Linked DNA regions of Schizosaccharomyces pombe. Changing the gene in region 2 together with the main gene of any one other region gives a genetic interaction. Each region holds a gene or a part of one and is shown on either strand. Other genes may lie near its edges.

The links.
Region 1: mutations in saf4 (region 2) and nab3 together harm fitness less than expected from each alone (positive genetic interaction), as found in Schizosaccharomyces pombe (one large-scale study listed by BioGRID).
Region 3: mutations in saf4 (region 2) and put2 together harm fitness less than expected from each alone (positive genetic interaction), as found in Schizosaccharomyces pombe (one large-scale study listed by BioGRID).
Region 4: mutations in saf4 (region 2) and pdc202 together harm fitness more than expected from each alone (negative genetic interaction), as found in Schizosaccharomyces pombe (one large-scale study listed by BioGRID).

Annotation. Positions count from the first base shown.
Region 1 is NC_003424.3:603,783-609,178, reverse strand, and holds nab3 (poly(A)-binding protein Nab3), read left to right. Parts: upstream 1-1,967; 5' UTR 1,968-2,329; coding exon 2,330-3,741; exon of another isoform or gene 3,742-3,823; coding exon 3,824-4,164; exon of another isoform or gene 4,165-4,219; coding exon 4,220-4,683; 3' UTR 4,684-4,867; downstream 4,868-5,396. Other genes in the region: spo20 (sec14 cytosolic factor family, phospholipid-intermembrane transfer protein Spo20/Sec14), read right to left, coding at 29-187.
Region 2 is NC_003423.3:1,786,054-1,790,757, reverse strand, and holds saf4 (splicing-associated factor Saf4), read left to right. Parts: upstream 1-1,711; coding exon 1,712-1,972; exon of another isoform or gene 1,973-2,017; coding exon 2,018-2,266; exon of another isoform or gene 2,267-2,321; coding exon 2,322-2,711; 3' UTR 2,712-2,840; coding exon of another isoform or gene 2,841-3,115; 3' UTR 3,116-3,150; downstream 3,151-4,704. Other genes in the region: PPR repeat-containing protein Ppr2, read left to right, coding at 76-1,374; SPOM_SPBC18H10.09 (zf-CHY type zinc finger protein), read right to left, coding at 2,841-3,115, 3,151-4,280, 4,344-4,426; ubiquitin hydrolase Ubp4, read left to right, coding at 4,510-4,617, 4,678-4,704.
Region 3 is NC_003423.3:2,323,179-2,327,637, reverse strand, and holds put2 (delta-1-pyrroline-5-carboxylate dehydrogenase), read right to left. Parts: upstream 2,598-4,459; 5' UTR 2,520-2,597; intron 2,405-2,519; 5' UTR 2,383-2,404; coding exon 736-2,382; 3' UTR 540-735; downstream 1-539. Other genes in the region: sec28 (coatomer epsilon subunit protein), read right to left, coding at 1-57, 102-132; SPOM_SPBC24C6.03 (proline--tRNA (Pro) ligase), read right to left, coding at 3,337-4,459.
Region 4 is NC_003424.3:583,603-588,044, forward strand, and holds pdc202 (pyruvate decarboxylase), read left to right. Parts: upstream 1-1,994; coding exon 1,995-3,710; 3' UTR 3,711-3,893; downstream 3,894-4,442. Other genes in the region: ysp2 (peptidase family M17 cytoplasmic leucyl aminopeptidase yspII (LAP yspII)), read left to right, coding at 1-431.

The DNA.
Region 1 (5,396 bases), on a different chromosome or scaffold from region 2:
ACACAAAGTTTCCTGCTGTACAACTTACTAAAGTGGCATCGTCTAATCTTTCCGTGTATCCAAGTTTTTGTAACTCTAAACGCATGCTATCTAGCGTAGCTTGCTGTGTAGAATTCAAATGCCCTGGGTGCCCTAATGGAGCATTTGGATTAGTTAGAGGATAAGGATCCGATATAGTTTCTGACATCTTTTTGTTTAGACGATGGTTGTAGAGAGAAGACCTAATGACCCAGTCTGTACAAGATGTATAAAGGAAAAGGAAGAACGTCAGCGACCTTAATACTAGTGGTCATCAGCCGTGGGGGATCAGTCAAGCGTGGGGGCCTTTTACCTACTACCGCAGGAACCTTTGTTGCCATGCTACACCCAACGCTATTGTTATATGTGAGTATGAGGATAAACTTCAGTGTTAAAAATCAGATGAGAGGAAGAAGCTCCTCGTATGAGGTTTAAATTGTGTATAACCAATTTTTCAACTTGCATGAAAAGTGCGACAAATTTGAGATGCAGAATGGCCTTCAACGAGGCGTTGAAGGTAAATAAAACATGGGGAAAAAGTGACAATTTAACTTTGTGGAAGCATTTTTTCTTTACCAAAAAAAACGAACGATAGATAATGTTTATTTTATTTAAGCCTTTGAGTGCGCTTGTGGTGATTTTCTGTCATCAATATTTATGCACCTGACAGCTTTGAAAGAGTAAACCAGGCACTAAGAAGCGTTATAGTACATAGAGTATAGAATATGTAAATGGATGATCATATTGCGATTTTGAGATTGTTGTCTATGTAAAAACGGTATAGGAGTATCGTAGCTGGATATTTATGTGAAGTAAAACAGTTCAATTTTATGATTGTTCAGTTTTCGTATTATAAATGAGGAGTAGAAAATTGTCATAGAGTTGTGATTAAAAAAGAACTTTAAATAAGCAAATATAGTAAAGGAAAAGAAATTTTATTGCAAATGGAAAAATATTTCGTGAATAAGCAATTTAACAAAAAATACATATTGAAACGTAAATAAAGTAATACTATACGACATAAAAAATAAAATAAAATAAAATCTAAAGAATGAATAAAATAAATAATAATTAGACTAACAGCCACTTAAATATATATACAAAATTTTTTTAAAAACTAGTTTTGTCTCGCAAACGTAATTATTGTTTCCTTCTCTTTCGATCGAACTTCAGCCATAATTTTGAAAGCGTTTCTTCCACGCAAAGTTTAACAAAACATACAAGAGTGAAAGGCATTGCTTGAATGGACAGTCCATTTTGTACTTGCATAAAATTTTCAAGTTAGTATCAAATTTTCTACATGTTAGCAATAATACATTTATTTACATTGATTTTACCTTTAAAGACCTATAACAATATAAATTTTTGATTATTATATTAACGTTACGGAAGGATAGTATAATCGTCAAAATATCGTTATAATTTAACAAACGAATAAATGCAGGAAACAATGCATTACGCAAGCTTGTTACTAAAGGCAGGAAGCATAGTTTGAATATAGGATGAAAACCGTGGATATCAATGTTATAAGCATTTAACATTGAATAAGTATGGTAGAGGTGAAAAGAATCAGTACTACGTTTCTTAATTGGCAACCTTGCACCTCAAACCCAGCTGAAGTGTACTTTGCACACGAGTCTATTACTACATGGTTTTTTTATACATATTAAATAATAGCAATGGTTATTTGAACTGCAATAACGGTAACCCTACCCCGATATCTCCAAGTTTGAAAATTTACTGCTTTTATGAAAATTTAGTTTACAGTTTGTTTTGGAAACGATTATGCTATCAGTGCAGAAGCTGAAAAAAAGAAAATTTCGGGATAGTAAAATTGTTTTCATGTCATTTCCCTGGCGGTGGTTTTGAAAAGCCCGAAGTTCCATTCATTTGAGTGGCAACTTAATTTTTCATCTATTTAAAGGATGCAATTTTAGTACCACTCCGCCGTATCTTCTACCTAAGACATAAAGTTGTGAAGAAGAAAAAAAAATAAAGGTAGTTGGAAGAAAACCATCTGCATAAATTTCCTTTTAATCGCCAACTCTTTACACATTTGGTTGAGTGTGAAATTTTTACTTTTTCTGTTTCACCCTCTAGTTATTTCCATTCATTGCACCTTGTGTAAATATTTTATTTAAAAATTGGACCAGTTTATCAAATGCATAAAATTTAGTACTTTAATCTTTTAAAGCTAATTTTGTTTTTGTTACTCTGTCCTCTTAATTCTCCTTCATATTCCCTGTTAATAATAATAAATTAAAAAAATTTGATGTTTTATTTTGGTTTTACTTTTCAAGTCAATCAATAAATGTCATCCTCGTCTAAAGATTCTTCGTTCCAAGTGGAAACTCCTGTGCAGAATATTTTAGAAACCAGTACAAACTCCGAGCTTCAAGACCAGGTATCATCTCCATATGAACCAGACTACAACTCACCTGTCAAACAGGCTGCTGCTTCGATAAGTGCTTTACAAACACAAGACGACACTTTATTCAACAACGTTGATGAACGTACATTAGAAAATAAGGATGGGAATAAGTCAGATGATGCAAACTTTGATCAAGTATCCGGTATTCCTTCTGGAAGTTTGGAGATACCAATATTAAACTCAGCTACTAGCAACATTCGGTTAACTCCTTCAGATACTTATAATAATATTCCAGTTTCGGACACCAACAATGAGGAAATTTCTAAAAACATATATGGAGCTCCAATTTTAGAGTCAACTTCTTCCGACTTTCAAAGTAAGGATTCACTTTCCACTACTCAACCAAGTGTTTCGGGGGGAAACGGATCTACCTCTCAAAGTCCTCCTTCACTCGACGTTGAGCAAAATAAGCCTTTTTCGATATCCAATGAACCAGTGGAACAAGAAACTGAAAACTCTTCTACTAAAGATTTACAAGTATACGATTTTCAGACCGCTTCAGAGCATTTACCTGAACAATCCTTACAAAACACCACTTATTATGATCCGTCAAAAACTTATAGCTCGGTGAATTTTGAAGAAATTGAATATGGAAAGTCTCATGAGAAATTAGATTTACCTTATAGAACTACTGATTTTATTCCCTATTCTAAAGACTTGTCAACTAGTCCTGAGGCTCACAGGACTAGTATTTATTCGTATAGTGCTAATTTGCCCAATTATTATAATGAGCATAATGAATTACATGAACATCATAATCCCCAGACACCCAGTTCCCCGGAATCTGCGTATAGTCCTGAAAATTTGCAACTTAATCATGAAGCACAAAATGTTGAATATTTGGGTAACAATGCTGCCGAGAAATCGTTGCAAATGAACTTAGAGGATGAACAAAGATTTCAACAATTTTTGAAAGATGAAGAAAGTATAATGTCAAACTGGTATCCAGGGCAATTTCCTTCAGCTTCTCGCTTATTTTTGGGTCATCTAAATACAAAGAGCTTATCTAAACGAAATTTGTGGAAAGTTTTTAAAATTTATGGGCCTTTAGCACAGATAGTTTTAAAAGCAAATTATGGTTTCGTTCAGTTTTTTACAAACGAAGATTGTGCTAGGGCTTTAAATGCGGAACAAGGCAATTTTGTTCGGGGTCAAAAGCTGCATTTGGAAATTTCTAAAATTCAGAAGAAATATCAAAATCAAATAGAAAACATGAAGAAAGGATCACATGTTACCAAAAGTAATCAATATTCTGAAATGATTGGAAACCTTCCTTATCCCACTAGTAGCAGGTAAGGAATTATCGTTGCTGCAATTAATTTCGCAAAACATCGCAATTTTGTTTGTTTTTTTAGCCTTGCTAACGTAATACAGAAAACGCACGCGATCTCCTTTAATGTCGAAGGGTAAATCCTACGATAGAAAGGGATCTATATCCATGTCTAAAAACTTCAGCCCTGATTGTGAAATACTAGTCACGGAAGACTGTCCAAAGGAATTTGTATGGGGAGTGGAAAAAGTCTTTCAGGAGCGTCGATTGAATATACATACCACTTGTTTGTACCGTGACTCAAACTTACAAGTCATTATTAAAAGCTGTATTATTAACAGCGTTAAATCCATTATCTTGATAAACGCCGGTTTGGCTCACCTAGGGAAGGTGTCGGTTCAAGTGTTTAAAGACGGATCTAGCGATTCAGAAGTCCGTTGTGATGGTACGTTGAATAAAGATATATGTGTTTTGACAGAACTCTAACTTTGTCTTTATAGAATATGCTGCTGTGGACGTGATGGTTGCTGCAAGTATTGTTCACCACGCAAAGACTTCTCTCATGCACTCAGCTGCTTCTAGTACGCCATCGTATAATGGTGAGCGTATTGTGCCTGACGTGCCATCTCCCTGTATATCAACGAATCCTAATCTACCAGCTTTAGTAGGTTCTTTAGATTCTGTTAATCTTCACCATTTATTAGGATTCATTCAAAATACCTATAGCACTACTTCATACATTCCAACTAGAGTTAGTTTTAATCCTAATGATACCGGAGGATCATTTGGAACAATTACATCTCAGTCCCAATTTGTTGTGAATGAGATGCCTAAAAATTATGCTCGTGATAATTACGAAGCATTGCATTCTCAAGAAAGCCGCCAAAGGTCTTCAGTTGCTGGAAACAAGCAACTTCAAAAGATATTAGAGCAGCTCGCAGAGCTCAAGCAACCTGATTTTTGATATCTGACCTTAGAAAAGGTTTATATATATTATTTGTTAACAAGTGTTTTAGGTAGCACTTTGTTAATATGGTTTTGCGATATATATGTCCTTGTCTTCAATATTTATTTCACTTTTTTCTCAGTTATTCTTGAAGCATTTATATGTAAAAACCAACAGACAAGTAATTTTTCTTGCTGCACGGACTATCAACTGTTCATTTGTATTTTTTTCGATGCATACAAAAAATGGTAATAAATCGTTAGGAAGAAAGTTTCGATACTTGATTTTTACTGATTAAGAGATTTAGCGAGTAAAAATTAATAACAACGACATATTTTTATTATTAATTTGATGATCATGAATGTCAAATGTCCTTTTAATATTTTACTACTTAGGTAAACGTGCAGTTTAATTGATCTGATAACAGCGATGCACTGCTACGCAACGCCGACTAGTACGTTGTAAGCTTAGTAAGTAAGTAAGTAGTAACTTTTATATTATAATCTTTTCATTACTAGTAATACAAGTGCCTCCCAATCTGAAGTTGCAATTAAGGAACTTTATTTAAAGTATATTATCAGGTTAATTTTTTTAATTAGAAATAACAACCGCTGGTCGGTCTGAATATCAAGGTGCTTTTAAAGGATTCTCTAAAATAGGAAGTTTTGAAGGATCCTCGTTTTATTTTGTGCCTCCACTTCAAATACGGAGGCAACTACAATTGCTTGAAA
Region 2 (4,704 bases):
CAACTCATATTTTATAACTTACTTCCTACTAACGCGGTTTTAATCCTAAACTTGAATAAACTAGTGGTTTGTTTAATGCAATTCATTAAAAGGACATTTCCGCGAAGGGCCTTTGTCGATTTGCTCCTAAACCGCTTCTGCTTGCGGGAATTTGCAACCACGTATAGTGTTTCAGTAAGTAATGCGCGGAAATTAGTACGAAAGCGCCTTTTAATCGCTGATGCTTTGAAATTCAAGGAGCAAGTCAACAATCTAAATGAGTTTCGAAATAAAAAAACTAAGTCATCCTTAATAAGAAACGATGGTTTCAAACTGGCTAAAAATGTATCTTCGTTACTTCAAAAAGAGTCTTTAGAGAAAGCATTGCATTTACTGTACGAGAGATCAAATGCCAAGAAGACGGTTGCCTATAACCTTGTACTACAATATCATTTAGCTAAAGGGCATTACAACGCTGCTTGGTCTTTGTACAATGATATGAAAAAGCGCCAACAAAAACCTAGCGATCATACATACTCCATTCTTCTAAAGGGATTTTGCGATGCTATTGAAAAGAATAAGCAAGGAAATTTTTCTAAACTACGTGAATATAGTGAAAAGGTAACAGCTAGTGCTCTCAAGGAGTCTAATAATGTCACATCCAATTTGCATCACATACGAATTATATCCAAGTGTAGTCTAAAGCTTAAAAGTATGGTATTGGTGTCAATGATTATTCCATCCATCAAACAAACATTGGATTTCTATAGTGGATCTCAAATTCTTCGACTTTTGAACGACTTTTCTATGTTCAATCCGGAACAACGTGAAGAAGTGTTAAAGATGGGGACGAATCTTTGGAATTATTTTGTCCTTGAATGCCAAAAGAAAGGAATAGCAGTTGATGAAAGTCTTATTTGTTCCTTTGTGAAACTTCTGGCTACTAGCAACTCGCCTCAAGTGAGAAACGTGGGGTTAAATATTCTTACAAAAGTGATGGGATTGGAATATCAGATTTTCGAAGATTCCAACTTGCGTTATCCTTTACCCCCATATTGCGATTGTACTTCAAGAAGTTTGGTTACAGCATTACAGGTCATTCGTCAAATACAAAACGGTGATTTGTTAGCAAGGTATTGGAAGTATTTTGAGGAAAGTCACAAATTTGATTTAAATCTTCAAGTATATCATGAGAAGCTACGTAACCTTGTTCAGCAGGGCCAAGCAGCTGAATGCTTAAATACCATTAAAAGGATGTCGCATAACGGTCCTTTCCCTACTCAGCAGACATTTTTGATTGTCTTATCATTATGCAAAAGGCCGAAATTTTATAGCTACACGAAAAGCTTCTTAGACTTGGCCAAGAAATTGAACGTCCCCGTTGAAGCAACCTAAAAATATCATCAAGTGTTTAATAATTCATCGATACCTTTTTATGTCATTTATAATTTTCTATTAATTTATAAGAAATGAATTCAAATAATCGTCATGTAATTTATTTATTTGTACATGTTTACCTTGTCCGTTTGAAACTGTAGAATGGAACCCTTATTATTTTAACGTCAATTTAGCAAACGTAATTTAAAATTGTTTGTTGAAAAGCCATGAATTAACTAAGAGTTATAATTATGTTTCTGTTGCATGCCACTGATTTAGCCTGAACTTCACCTAGACGTAGTATTAACTTAGGAACTACTGATTTTGGGCATAAAGAGCTATATACTCACTAAAAATGCAAGGATTTAATATGGGGAAATATATTCCCCCGGAAGGGCCGAATGCTAAAAGAAAATTTGATAAATTACGAAATGTAATTCGGTTTGAAATGCCATTTCCAGTGTGGTGCAACAATTGTGAAAATATCATTCAACAAGGCACTAGATTCAATGCTGTTAAAAAAGAGATTGGCTCATACTATACTACGAAAATATGGTCATTCAGCTTAAAATGTCATTTATGCTCAAACCCTATCGATGTACATACGGATCCTAAGGTACTGGTTTGATTAATTTAACAAATTTGTTACTGACATAAATAGAATACAGAATACATCGTTGCTTCTGGAGGCAGAAGGAAAATTGAACCTCAAGACATCAATGAACGTCCTGCAAAAGCTGAAAACGACGAAAAGGTGCCGTCTGATGCAATTGAAGCGCTGGAAACCCAATTAACTCAGCAAAAGTCAGAAAAGCATAATAGTTCTGTAATAAACTTTATATATGAGAAAAATGAAAGGCTTTGGTCGGATCCTTTCGTTTCTTCTCAGAGGCTGCGAAAACAGTTTCGGGTAAGAAGAATTTGTTTTGCGTTAAAATTTTCATATTAACTAACCCATAACTTAGGAAAGGAAAAAAATTGAAAAAAAGCAAGAAGCTAAAGATCTATCTCTCAAAAACCGTGCAGCGTTGGACATTGATATATTACCACCCTCTTCTTCTGACAAGGATAAGGCATTATTGTTGCTAGATAACGAATTAGGAAAGAATAAATTTATAAGGAAATTAGATTATAGAAGAACATTAATGCCCTCTTCTAGAACATTTTCGACTTTTGCAAAGTTTGCTGAGACTTCATTCGCAAAAAAAGATCCTTTTGCTCGAAAATTTGTCCCTTCCGAGAAGCTAAGGAGCGAGCAAAGGAAATTTCCTACAGAAAATTTAAAGGGAGAGAAAATCCTTGAAGATAATTCGGTTTCTCTCGTCAATTATGAAGTGAGTGATGATGAAGGATAATTATTTTGGTTAAATACGAAGACTTTAAAAGTATCTTCTATCAAAAGATTAACTACTTGTTATTCATTAAATTTTTATACAATATGGGTATCTAATGAAGCAAAAAAATATGGATGTCATGCAACCCAATTAATTACCGTGATGCTTCCTTTTGTACTTCCTTGGATCCTTCCTACTCATGCGAACGCGATCGCGCATTCCTTTTCCTCCCTCCCAGTAGGCACTGGTTTGTTTTTTCACAGTCATATTTCCACAATGGGGGCAAGTTGCATCCTTTTTGTAGAAAGATTCCATGGCACAGTACCCACATATTATTCGATTAGCATGCTCAAATGTATGATTTTGATCAGCGTCATGACATTCATCACATGGATAAACACGATCACAACATGAAAAACGAAACCCTGATTGTTAATTATGAATTTTATAAACGACTTACATCTGAATGATTTTTTGTAATGTTCGCAAGCACCATTATTGGGAAGTGGCAATCCTTTCGTAATGTTTAAGTTTTGTTTTTGCTTCTTTTTTGCGCTCACCTTCCCGCCCATTGAACTTTGTCGTTGTTTTAACAAATGAAATTCGGTATCTTGATGTTCAACCAAGATTCTGTTTTTGCATACTTTACAAAACTGTAGCATGGGCTGCATGGAAGAAATACCTTTAAAGGATGTTATCTGCTCATCAACACATTCCATACAAGAGACCTGACAGTCAATGGGCATCACGTCAACCGGTACACATCCTAAAGTATGGAGGATACCTAAACGGGCATTATTTGGGTGAATCACACCAGGCACCCAAACTAATCTTAGAGTATTACTACACTTATTGCAAACAAGAGAAAATTTTGTAGCAATAGAAATTTCACTTCCATAATGGCACCGAACACACTTTATGACCAAACGTAAAATTGGTGCTTTGAGAGTACCGACATTAGTTAAATGCGGATTCTTCCATTCTAAGCAGTATTCGTTACCCAGAAGCTCTGTGTCTTTGCTCTGAATGTCATGATCGTTACTGTAAGCATCCTGTGGTTCATTAACATTTTGTAGATCATCTTCTTTCCCATCGTTTCCTCCTTTTGAATAAATAATTTTTTTTGGCTTTTCATCATTGAATAACTGTTCAGAGCCAGAGATGGTAGTTTTTGTTTGGGTAGTATTCTGCTTTTGACAGTGATTTTGACCACGCAGTACTTCATAGTCAAGTGTAGTGTTCAAATGAACCCTCTCTGATAGAGGTCCTTCAAGCTTATTTGCCAACGGCTCTAAGTCAGTTGGGGTTTCTGGTTTCTTAGAATCGACTTGTTGAACCATCAACTCACGCTCTTTTGTATTGCATGTCTCAAATGATTTCCAATTTTGTAACAAATAATTAAATAAACTTGTCAAAGTTGTTTTCTGATTTTGAAATGCCGTTTCAACGTACTTATTCATTGCCGTTTGCATGAACTCTTGATTTTTTTCAAGTAATACCGATATTTGAAACGGTTTATCTTTATTTATAACTAAAGTAATCAATCCATGATCACTGGGCAAGGATAAGAAAATCTCATTTCTTGCCTCTCTGGTACTAGTTAATAAAGATGTTTACATTAACTAACCCACAGCTAACCTGCTTAGTACTTACATAACTTCCGGATTAAGCCTTCGCCGGAATACTTGTATCTGCAAGTCCCAATTTGAATCCTTCATAGCTTCAATTGAAACCATAATAACCAAAAAAGGCTATAGTCTTGTAGTATTTGGTTCAATTCAGGTTAAGTCGCCAACACAAATACTCGGTTCTTCCTCGGATGTCCGATGATTATTTCGACAGACTATTTGAATTAGCATTCGTTTATATTAATGAAGATGAAACGATTCAAAGCTGTTCCTTCAGAGGACAACGCTGGCTTGAAGAGGTATGTCTAATTTTTCCGTGCCGTTTATAGTAATGTGCTTCAATTACTAACAGTTTTGAGGCCCAAACTCTTGAACAAAAAAATTCA
Region 3 (4,459 bases), 540 kb from region 2:
TTTCAAATAACTTTGTATAGTTTCCACTATAAAAGTATTGACGAACAAAATACAGTTCTATCAAATATTAGTTGTTATTTAATTCCCAACTCATCTCTTACCATTAGATAAACTAGCCTCCCATGAAAACATGTTAAAAGTTTTAATTATGTTGGGCGATGTGTGGAGTAGAGAGTATGTGGGTTAATGGTGTTTGTACATGAGTAACCCTACAACAAAATGTAAAGCAAACGAACTTTCCATCAAGACTTGTAATTTTTCTAATTGCTCCGAAGCCTAATATAATATATTTCGCAGTCAGCAAGTAAAATGTTCGATAATTGAGATCCTTTTTCTACAGGTCGTTGTTGTATTCAAGAATCACCAGCAAACTACATTTTGGTCCACTGGCTTTTATATACAATGCAACAAATCTAGTGTTATAAATCAATACATGTTAACAAAGCGAACATTATAATTTATTAGAATAACAAATGGCGAGCTTTAAAAAAAAAGAAAAAAAAAAATTGTAAAACCTAGACTACCTTTGAAAGTTTGAGTTTAACTCAAGGTAACTAATCAATATATATATATATATATACTTCCTTTATTCCTCACATATTGTACTAAACCCAAAAAAAAAAAGGTTGTGGTCTTTTTTATGGCAGTATCAAAGTACAGAGTAAAACACTCTACAACTCCAATGTCTATCTAAATTCTAAAAATTAAATCCAAATCAAAAAGGCCAAAACAAACTTAAAAGTTGGAAGGGTATAAAACAGAGTCTGCATAAGCAAACGTATCTTTGATGGAGCGAGGAGAAACGAATCGAGACAGAATCATTCCGCTACCAGCTTTATCGTTAGTACCACTGGCACGAGCACCACCAAAAGGTTGTTCACCAACAACAGCACCAGTACACTTATCATTGATATAGAAGTTACCAGCGGCATTACGGAGACGGTCAGTCAACTTTCTGACAACAACACGGTCCTGAGCGAAGATGGATCCGGTTAAACCATAAGGAGTGGTAGTATCGATGAGATCGCAAACAGCGTCTAAGTTGTCATCCTCATATACATAAACAGACAGTACGGGGCCGAACAATTCGTTAACGAATATATCATGTTTAGGGTTTTTAGAAAGTAAAACGGTAGGTTCAACAAAGAAACCTTCGGAATCATCAGCTTTACCGCCAGCCAAAACTTCAATTTCAGAATCGGAAGCAGCACTCTCAAGAACCTTCTTCAGTTTGTTAAAGCTTGCTTGATGGATAACAGGGCCCACAAAATTAGCAAAATCAGTTAAAGGAGCACCGACCTTAAGAGACTTGACCTGTTTGGTAAGCTCATCACGGAAACCATTTTCCCAAGCATACTTAGAAACGTAAAGACGAGAAAGGGCAGAGCACTTTTGGCCTTGATATTCGAAAGCAGCACGAACAGCATTAACAACGGCACTCTTAATTTCAGCGGAAGAATGTACAAGATGAAAGTTCTTACCACCAGTCTCACCGACGATTTTGGGGTAAGTGCGGTATTTTCCGTTGGCAACATTCTCGCCAATTGTTCCCCAAAGGCTACGAAAGACGGCTGTGCTACCAGTAAAATGAAGACCAGCAAACTCAGGGTGGTTGAAACAAACCTTGGAGACTTCAACAGCGTCACCAGGGATAAATTGAAGTGCTCCAGCGGGAAGACCAGCTTCACGGAAGATTTGGTAAACAATGTAGCTAGAAAGGACTGCATGGTCAGAAGGCTTCATTAAAACGACGTTGCCCATGAGAAGGGGGGCAGCAGCCAAGTTACCAGCAATAGCTGTAAAGTTGAAAGGAGTAATGGCATAAACGAAACCTTCCAAAGGACGATATTCCATACGGTTCCAGACACCAGGAGTGTTTTCGGGAGGTTGGCTGGCATATAATTCACTAGCATACTTGGTATTGAAGCGAAGGAAGTCAATGATCTCCATTCCAGCGTCAATTTCAGCTTGCCAGATGTTCTTACCCTGGCCAATCATTGTAGCAGCCATGAGCTTGTAACGGTACTTGGTGCTTATCAAATGAGCAGCCTTCAAGAAAATGGCAGAACGGTCAGCAAAAGGTAAGGATTCCCAGACCTTCTTTCCACGAAGTGCTGCCTCAATGGCATCTTCAACGTGCTTGGCACCAGCACGGTGATAGCGAGCAACGACCTTTTTGTGCTCAAAAGGACAACGCTGCTCACCAATGGTATTCGTTTCAACTTCCTTACCATCAATGATGACAGGGATAGTGACAGGTAATTCAGCCTCTAACTCCTTGTAGGCCTTGACGATTCCCTCTCTGTCAGCACTATTGGGACCATAGTGTTTAGGAGGCTCGTTCTTAATGGCAGGTAATTTGAACTCAGCAAATTGTGACATTTTACTTAAAAATGAAATAAATCTAATAAGTATTAATATCGCATAAATAAAACGTAGAAAACCTAAAGATAGAAAGCAATGAAAAGACGCGTAGGGGTCTCACTCAAAACAGTTATTACATAGATATAAATACTTACTAGTTTCAATCCAAACGTTTAAAGAGCGTTAGAAATCGTTTCCTTTCTAATCGCCTGTATTGAGGTATTGGTGTTCTGGAAATATCCTGACAGAGATTTGCCTCTTATATATATACTCCTATATATTCTTATAAACAGGTAGTGTCGATGTGATCGCACTCCGTGGAATTTGCAATTTTGCTTAAAAAATCAGCTAAAATATTGATTATGAGACTTATAGAAGTGAACCCTGAACTTGTTGGTCTTTGGTCGTATTATTTGATTTATTTCAAAGGGAAGTGTTTTAACTGCTTTTAATCACACTCGGACATCTTCACATTATCTTACCGAACTATTAAATAGATAGCCTGAAGGCTTGGAATTGTATTTCGCTTAAATTGTAATCTAGCGCAAATCTTTATGATTGTTAATATTAAACTCTTGCTTCGTACTATTGAATCAGCTAGCTCTTTGCAGGGATTACTTCAAACTTAGTTTTGCATCCGATCCTCAGATTGTGTATCTGATTTAATTTATGAGTTCAAACTATAGTTGCAGAAAACCGAATTACAAAAAGAAGTAGGAAGGAAACATGACACTTTTTTAATGTTTATAAAATAGTAAGATATCAATAAAGCGGAACGAGTTTTTGTCTGATACTACAAAACAAATTTTATCGAAATGATGATTTCAGCATTTTGCATTGATATAATTTTTGGACAAAAAAGCTTTTTTCCAATGTTCACAAGTAGAAATGGTATCTATTTGAACGATAAGTTAAATTCTTGACATTAGATTACTCTCATAGCATAAAAAAATATTGTAGGATTTGACAAATTTAAAGAAAGTTTCCCAAGAGTACTTGATGCAGTGAATCTTTGTCAAGTTTATATCGTTCACCTGAAGAACGAACAATAATTTCACATATTCCTTCCTCTTGAAATCTTGATCCTACAACTATTACAAATGGATATCCAATCAACTCAGCATCTCTCATTTTATATCCAAAAGCTCTATTTTGTCTGTCCTCCAACAGCACATTATCAAAGCCTACAACGTTAGCCGTGGCATCGTAAACCGTTTCAGCGCTCTGAATATGATTATCAGAAGTAGGAACAACTAGTACTTTCCAAGGAGCTATCGACGATGGCCACACTAAACCCTTTGCATCTTTGGTTACATGAGCGACTGCAGCTATAAGTCTTGAAACACCGATTCCATAACATCCCATATGAAGGACTTCCTGTTTGTTTTTTACTTCTACCGTTGCATTAAATTTGGAGGAATAAATTTTTCCAAGATAGAAGGCATGTCCTACTTCAATCGCGGTAGTTGAAGTTAGCTGATCATTGCAATTAGGGCATGAAATATCACTGGATGTTTTAGACAAATCAAGCATTTCGGAATTTGTTGAATAATGACAAGACGGACATGTATAGATTACATCTTCTCCCACAGGGTGTCGATAATGAAATTCGTGTGATAAGTTTCCTCCAATATTACCCGTAGCAGCTTTCACCATCACGAATGGCAATCCCACTTCTTTGAAAAAAGTATGATATGCTTGCAAAACATCCTCGTAAGTTTTCATAGCGGATGCTTTGTCGATATCAAAAGTATAAAGATCCTTCATCATGAACTCTCTACCGCGAAGAAGACCACCTCGCGGACGTAATTCATCCCGAAACTTTCGACCTATCTGGTAAACACGTATCGGTAATTGCTTTTGAGAATCTATGATTGTAGCCATAGTGCGAGTAACATCTTCCTCATGGGTAGGAGCAAGGCACATTTCTCTGTCATTTCGGTCATGAAGACGAAAAAGTTCACTTCCAGTCTTTTGCCATCTTCCACTTTTCTCCCATATCTCCTTACTAGAAAGATGTGCCAAACTGATCGCTGAAGCACCCAAAGAACGCATTGATATGTGCAACAAGTCACATATTTTATTTTGTACACGC
Region 4 (4,442 bases), on a different chromosome or scaffold from region 2:
ATGCAGTTCACTATGTCTCTTCTCAGTATAAGACCAAGGCTGTGATTGAAGCCAGCACATTAACTGGTGCTATGCTAGTAGCCCTCGGTAATGTATTTACTGGTGCATTTGTTCAAGGAGAAGAGTTGTGGAAGAATCTTGAAACTGCTTCCCATGATGCTGGAGACCTTTTCTGGCGTATGCCATTTCACGAGGCTTACCTCAAGCAACTTACAAGTTCTTCAAATGCTGATTTGTGCAATGTTAGTCGTGCCGGTGGTGGTTGTTGTACAGCGGCTGCCTTTATTAAATGCTTCTTAGCCCAGAAAGATTTGTCTTTTGCTCATTTAGACATTGCCGGAGTTATGGATAAGCAGCTTAATTCTTGGGATTGTGACGGCATGAGCGGACGCCCAGTTCGCACTATTATTGAAGTCGCTCGCAAGTATTAGCTTATTTATTTTCTTGGCTATATGTGCAAACTTTATGTTTTTACTTATTTACTGTTGATTACACCAATCTCATTTTTCAATGTCCTTGTTAAGTGTATGTCAATGATATGTAGCTATCATGATTTTATTCTTTTTAATACTGTTTTCCACAACCGTTCATAACGGTTGTAAGGACCGAGTCTTTCTGATGGCTCTGGTTCTGTTTCCTTTAAAAATAAAATCAATTCGGTTGAAGTCTCATGTTGTTAAATTTCACTTTCGAAGTAGCGAATTTTTTTTTTCTATTTTGAATATAGATTTGTTTATTAAATGTAGTAATCAATTTACTCATGACTATTACTTTTGTCAAACAAAATCATAATACAAAACTAAATCTTTAAAGGTAGAATATTCTCCTGTGCGAGTTTACAATACTTTGGGATATGATCAAATCAATTTTTTTTAGATATCTGTTGAAATTTTTATAACAGTAATTTTGTATTATTTATCATACTATTTATTAGCGTTACCTGCCCTCTTAAATGTACACATCATGTGGGGGTGGGGGAACCAGTGCTGGAGATCACTTCTTGCTATACCGTTTGGCTCATGGCAACTATTGAGGATAGCAAGGAGCGTTACAATTTGCAAATCAATATGATAAACAGAAAAACAACAAGTTGAAGCTTAACACTGTAGCAATATAACAATGAAAAAAATAATCAGAATTAAAGCAAGAAGCCTATAAATGGTCCATCAATTGTGAAATCGATATTGCTAGATGTCAGGCAAATCGTGAACTCGGTTGAAAAATGTCGTTAATATTCATGTGAAATCATAATTACAGCAATATGTTCAAAGACTTTTGGATACTTTATAATAATGAGGATTCTATTTTTGAGTGGTCACATGGTCTCGTAACCATGAGGTACGCCTTACTTTTACGGACGAAACAATATTTCACATTCAGCTCTCAATGTTAAGTATCCAAACAAACATGGTACAAACCAATAAAGCATGTAAATTAATAAGCTTGAAATAAGGAATAGTCATTAAATTCAGTTTAGACATAATGTAAAAGGTATCAATTTTGTCTTTGGTATAGATACAATTAAGAATTTCGAGACGGAACGTTCGGTGATGTAGAGTTTTCATAATAATTTCTGCAGTTGCTTACACTAACCGAAGAATCGTCCAGTATAAACTGCTGACGATGCCTTAAATCAATAATTGCAAATTGCATAGTTGACGTTTTCCCGGGTGGCACATAGTGAGATTTGAGTCGAATAATGAAATAGCCTCTGACGAGTGGTTTCGTACCAAGAGTTTCAAAAAGAATAATCCACATTAACTCAATGTATCATTGATGACGGAATGTTGCTTATATAGCCAGAGTAACCCTGCTCTGAAGCATCTAAGGTTATATCTTTTTAACTTTTAGCTAGCAAACTCACTTGTTCCTTTAAGTTCAGAAAGTATCTGCTGGTTATTCAACAGATAATTATCTTGCGAAAAAGGAATACACACTCAGCATTGTAATTTGTTGAGTATATTTCACAAGCACATTAAATTGCATTATCAAACATGAGTGGGGATATTTTAGTCGGTGAATATCTATTCAAAAGGCTTGAACAATTAGGGGTCAAGTCCATTCTTGGTGTTCCAGGAGATTTCAATTTAGCTCTACTTGACTTAATTGAGAAAGTTGGAGATGAGAAATTTCGTTGGGTTGGCAATACCAATGAGTTGAATGGTGCTTATGCCGCTGATGGTTATGCTCGTGTTAATGGTCTTTCAGCCATTGTTACAACGTTCGGCGTGGGAGAGCTTTCCGCTATTAATGGAGTGGCAGGTTCTTATGCGGAGCATGTCCCAGTAGTTCATATTGTTGGAATGCCTTCCACAAAGGTGCAAGATACTGGAGCTTTGCTTCATCATACTTTAGGAGATGGAGACTTTCGCACTTTCATGGATATGTTTAAGAAAGTTTCTGCCTACAGTATAATGATCGATAACGGAAACGATGCAGCTGAAAAGATCGATGAAGCCTTGTCGATTTGTTATAAAAAGGCTAGGCCTGTTTACATTGGTATTCCTTCTGATGCTGGCTACTTCAAAGCATCTTCATCAAATCTTGGGAAAAGACTAAAGCTCGAGGAGGATACTAACGATCCAGCAGTTGAGCAAGAAGTCATCAATCATATCTCGGAAATGGTTGTCAATGCAAAGAAACCAGTGATTTTAATTGACGCTTGTGCTGTAAGACATCGTGTCGTTCCAGAAGTACATGAGCTGATTAAATTGACCCATTTCCCTACATATGTAACTCCCATGGGTAAATCTGCAATTGACGAAACTTCGCAATTTTTTGACGGCGTTTATGTTGGTTCAATTTCAGATCCTGAAGTTAAAGACAGAATTGAATCCACTGATCTGTTGCTATCCATCGGTGCTCTCAAATCAGACTTTAACACGGGTTCCTTCTCTTACCACCTCAGCCAAAAGAATGCCGTTGAGTTTCATTCAGACCACATGCGCATTCGATATGCTCTTTATCCAAATGTAGCCATGAAGTATATTCTTCGCAAACTGTTGAAAGTACTTGATGCTTCTATGTGTCATTCCAAGGCTGCTCCTACCATTGGCTACAACATCAAGCCTAAGCATGCGGAAGGATATTCTTCCAACGAGATTACTCATTGCTGGTTTTGGCCTAAATTTAGTGAATTTTTGAAGCCCCGAGATGTTTTGATCACCGAGACTGGAACTGCAAACTTTGGTGTCCTTGATTGCAGGTTTCCAAAGGATGTAACAGCCATTTCCCAGGTATTATGGGGATCTATTGGATACTCCGTTGGTGCAATGTTTGGTGCTGTTTTGGCCGTCCACGATTCTAAAGAGCCCGATCGTCGTACCATTCTTGTAGTAGGTGATGGATCCTTACAACTGACGATTACAGAGATTTCAACCTGCATTCGCCATAACCTCAAACCAATTATTTTCATAATTAACAACGACGGTTACACCATTGAGCGTTTAATTCATGGTTTGCATGCTAGCTATAACGAAATTAACACTAAATGGGGCTACCAACAGATTCCCAAGTTTTTCGGAGCTGCTGAAAACCACTTCCGCACTTACTGTGTTAAAACTCCTACTGACGTTGAAAAGTTGTTTAGCGACAAGGAGTTTGCAAATGCAGATGTCATTCAAGTAGTTGAGCTTGTAATGCCTATGTTGGATGCACCTCGTGTCCTAGTTGAGCAAGCCAAGTTGACGTCTAAGATCAATAAGCAATGAGCAAGCTATTGAGAGTGGAATTGGCAAACAAAGTTTCCTTTGATTTATATGTTTTTTATGATAAGCCCATTCAATTCATATAGTCTTTTAGTATAATGATTAGTTATTAAATTTATGTTTAAAGCAACTTTTTAGTTTAAAATTTTTCAAGTCAAGTTAGGGTGTACGTAAACAAACAATACCTTGGAAGCAATGAATGAAAAGGTAGAGTTAATCCAAACAATGTGGAAACCAGTTTCCTTGCATCTACTTACTAGTTTCGCAGAAAAATTGCTAAACTGCTTAAAAGCCAACTTTAACATTCTTATTTCTTACATAGGAGCTACCGTTCCATTCACATTGTGATATGCTAAGAATTTATTAGTTTTACAAAAATTGGGTGATTCTACTATTTAATACAGTGGTTTTGTAACGTAATGAAATTATAACGCTCGTTTATTACGATTTCCTAGGTAATGTAGCGGGTAAAGGCAATTGACTGATATTATGTATCACTCTATCACAGCAACGGACGAACGGTTTGCGTTGTTGTTTATAAATGGTTCTGCAACGCAGCTTCTGACTTTGACACTCTACACCACACCATACTTCAGCGCTCTATTCTTTCGCATAGGAAGGTAAGCTGCATTTCGTGGCGTTTGGTACCTTGAAAAAATATATTTTGGTTAATATTCGTTGGCTTTTTCTTTTAATTCTTGCTACTAATTCCAAGAATTGTGTAAGTATAGGAAG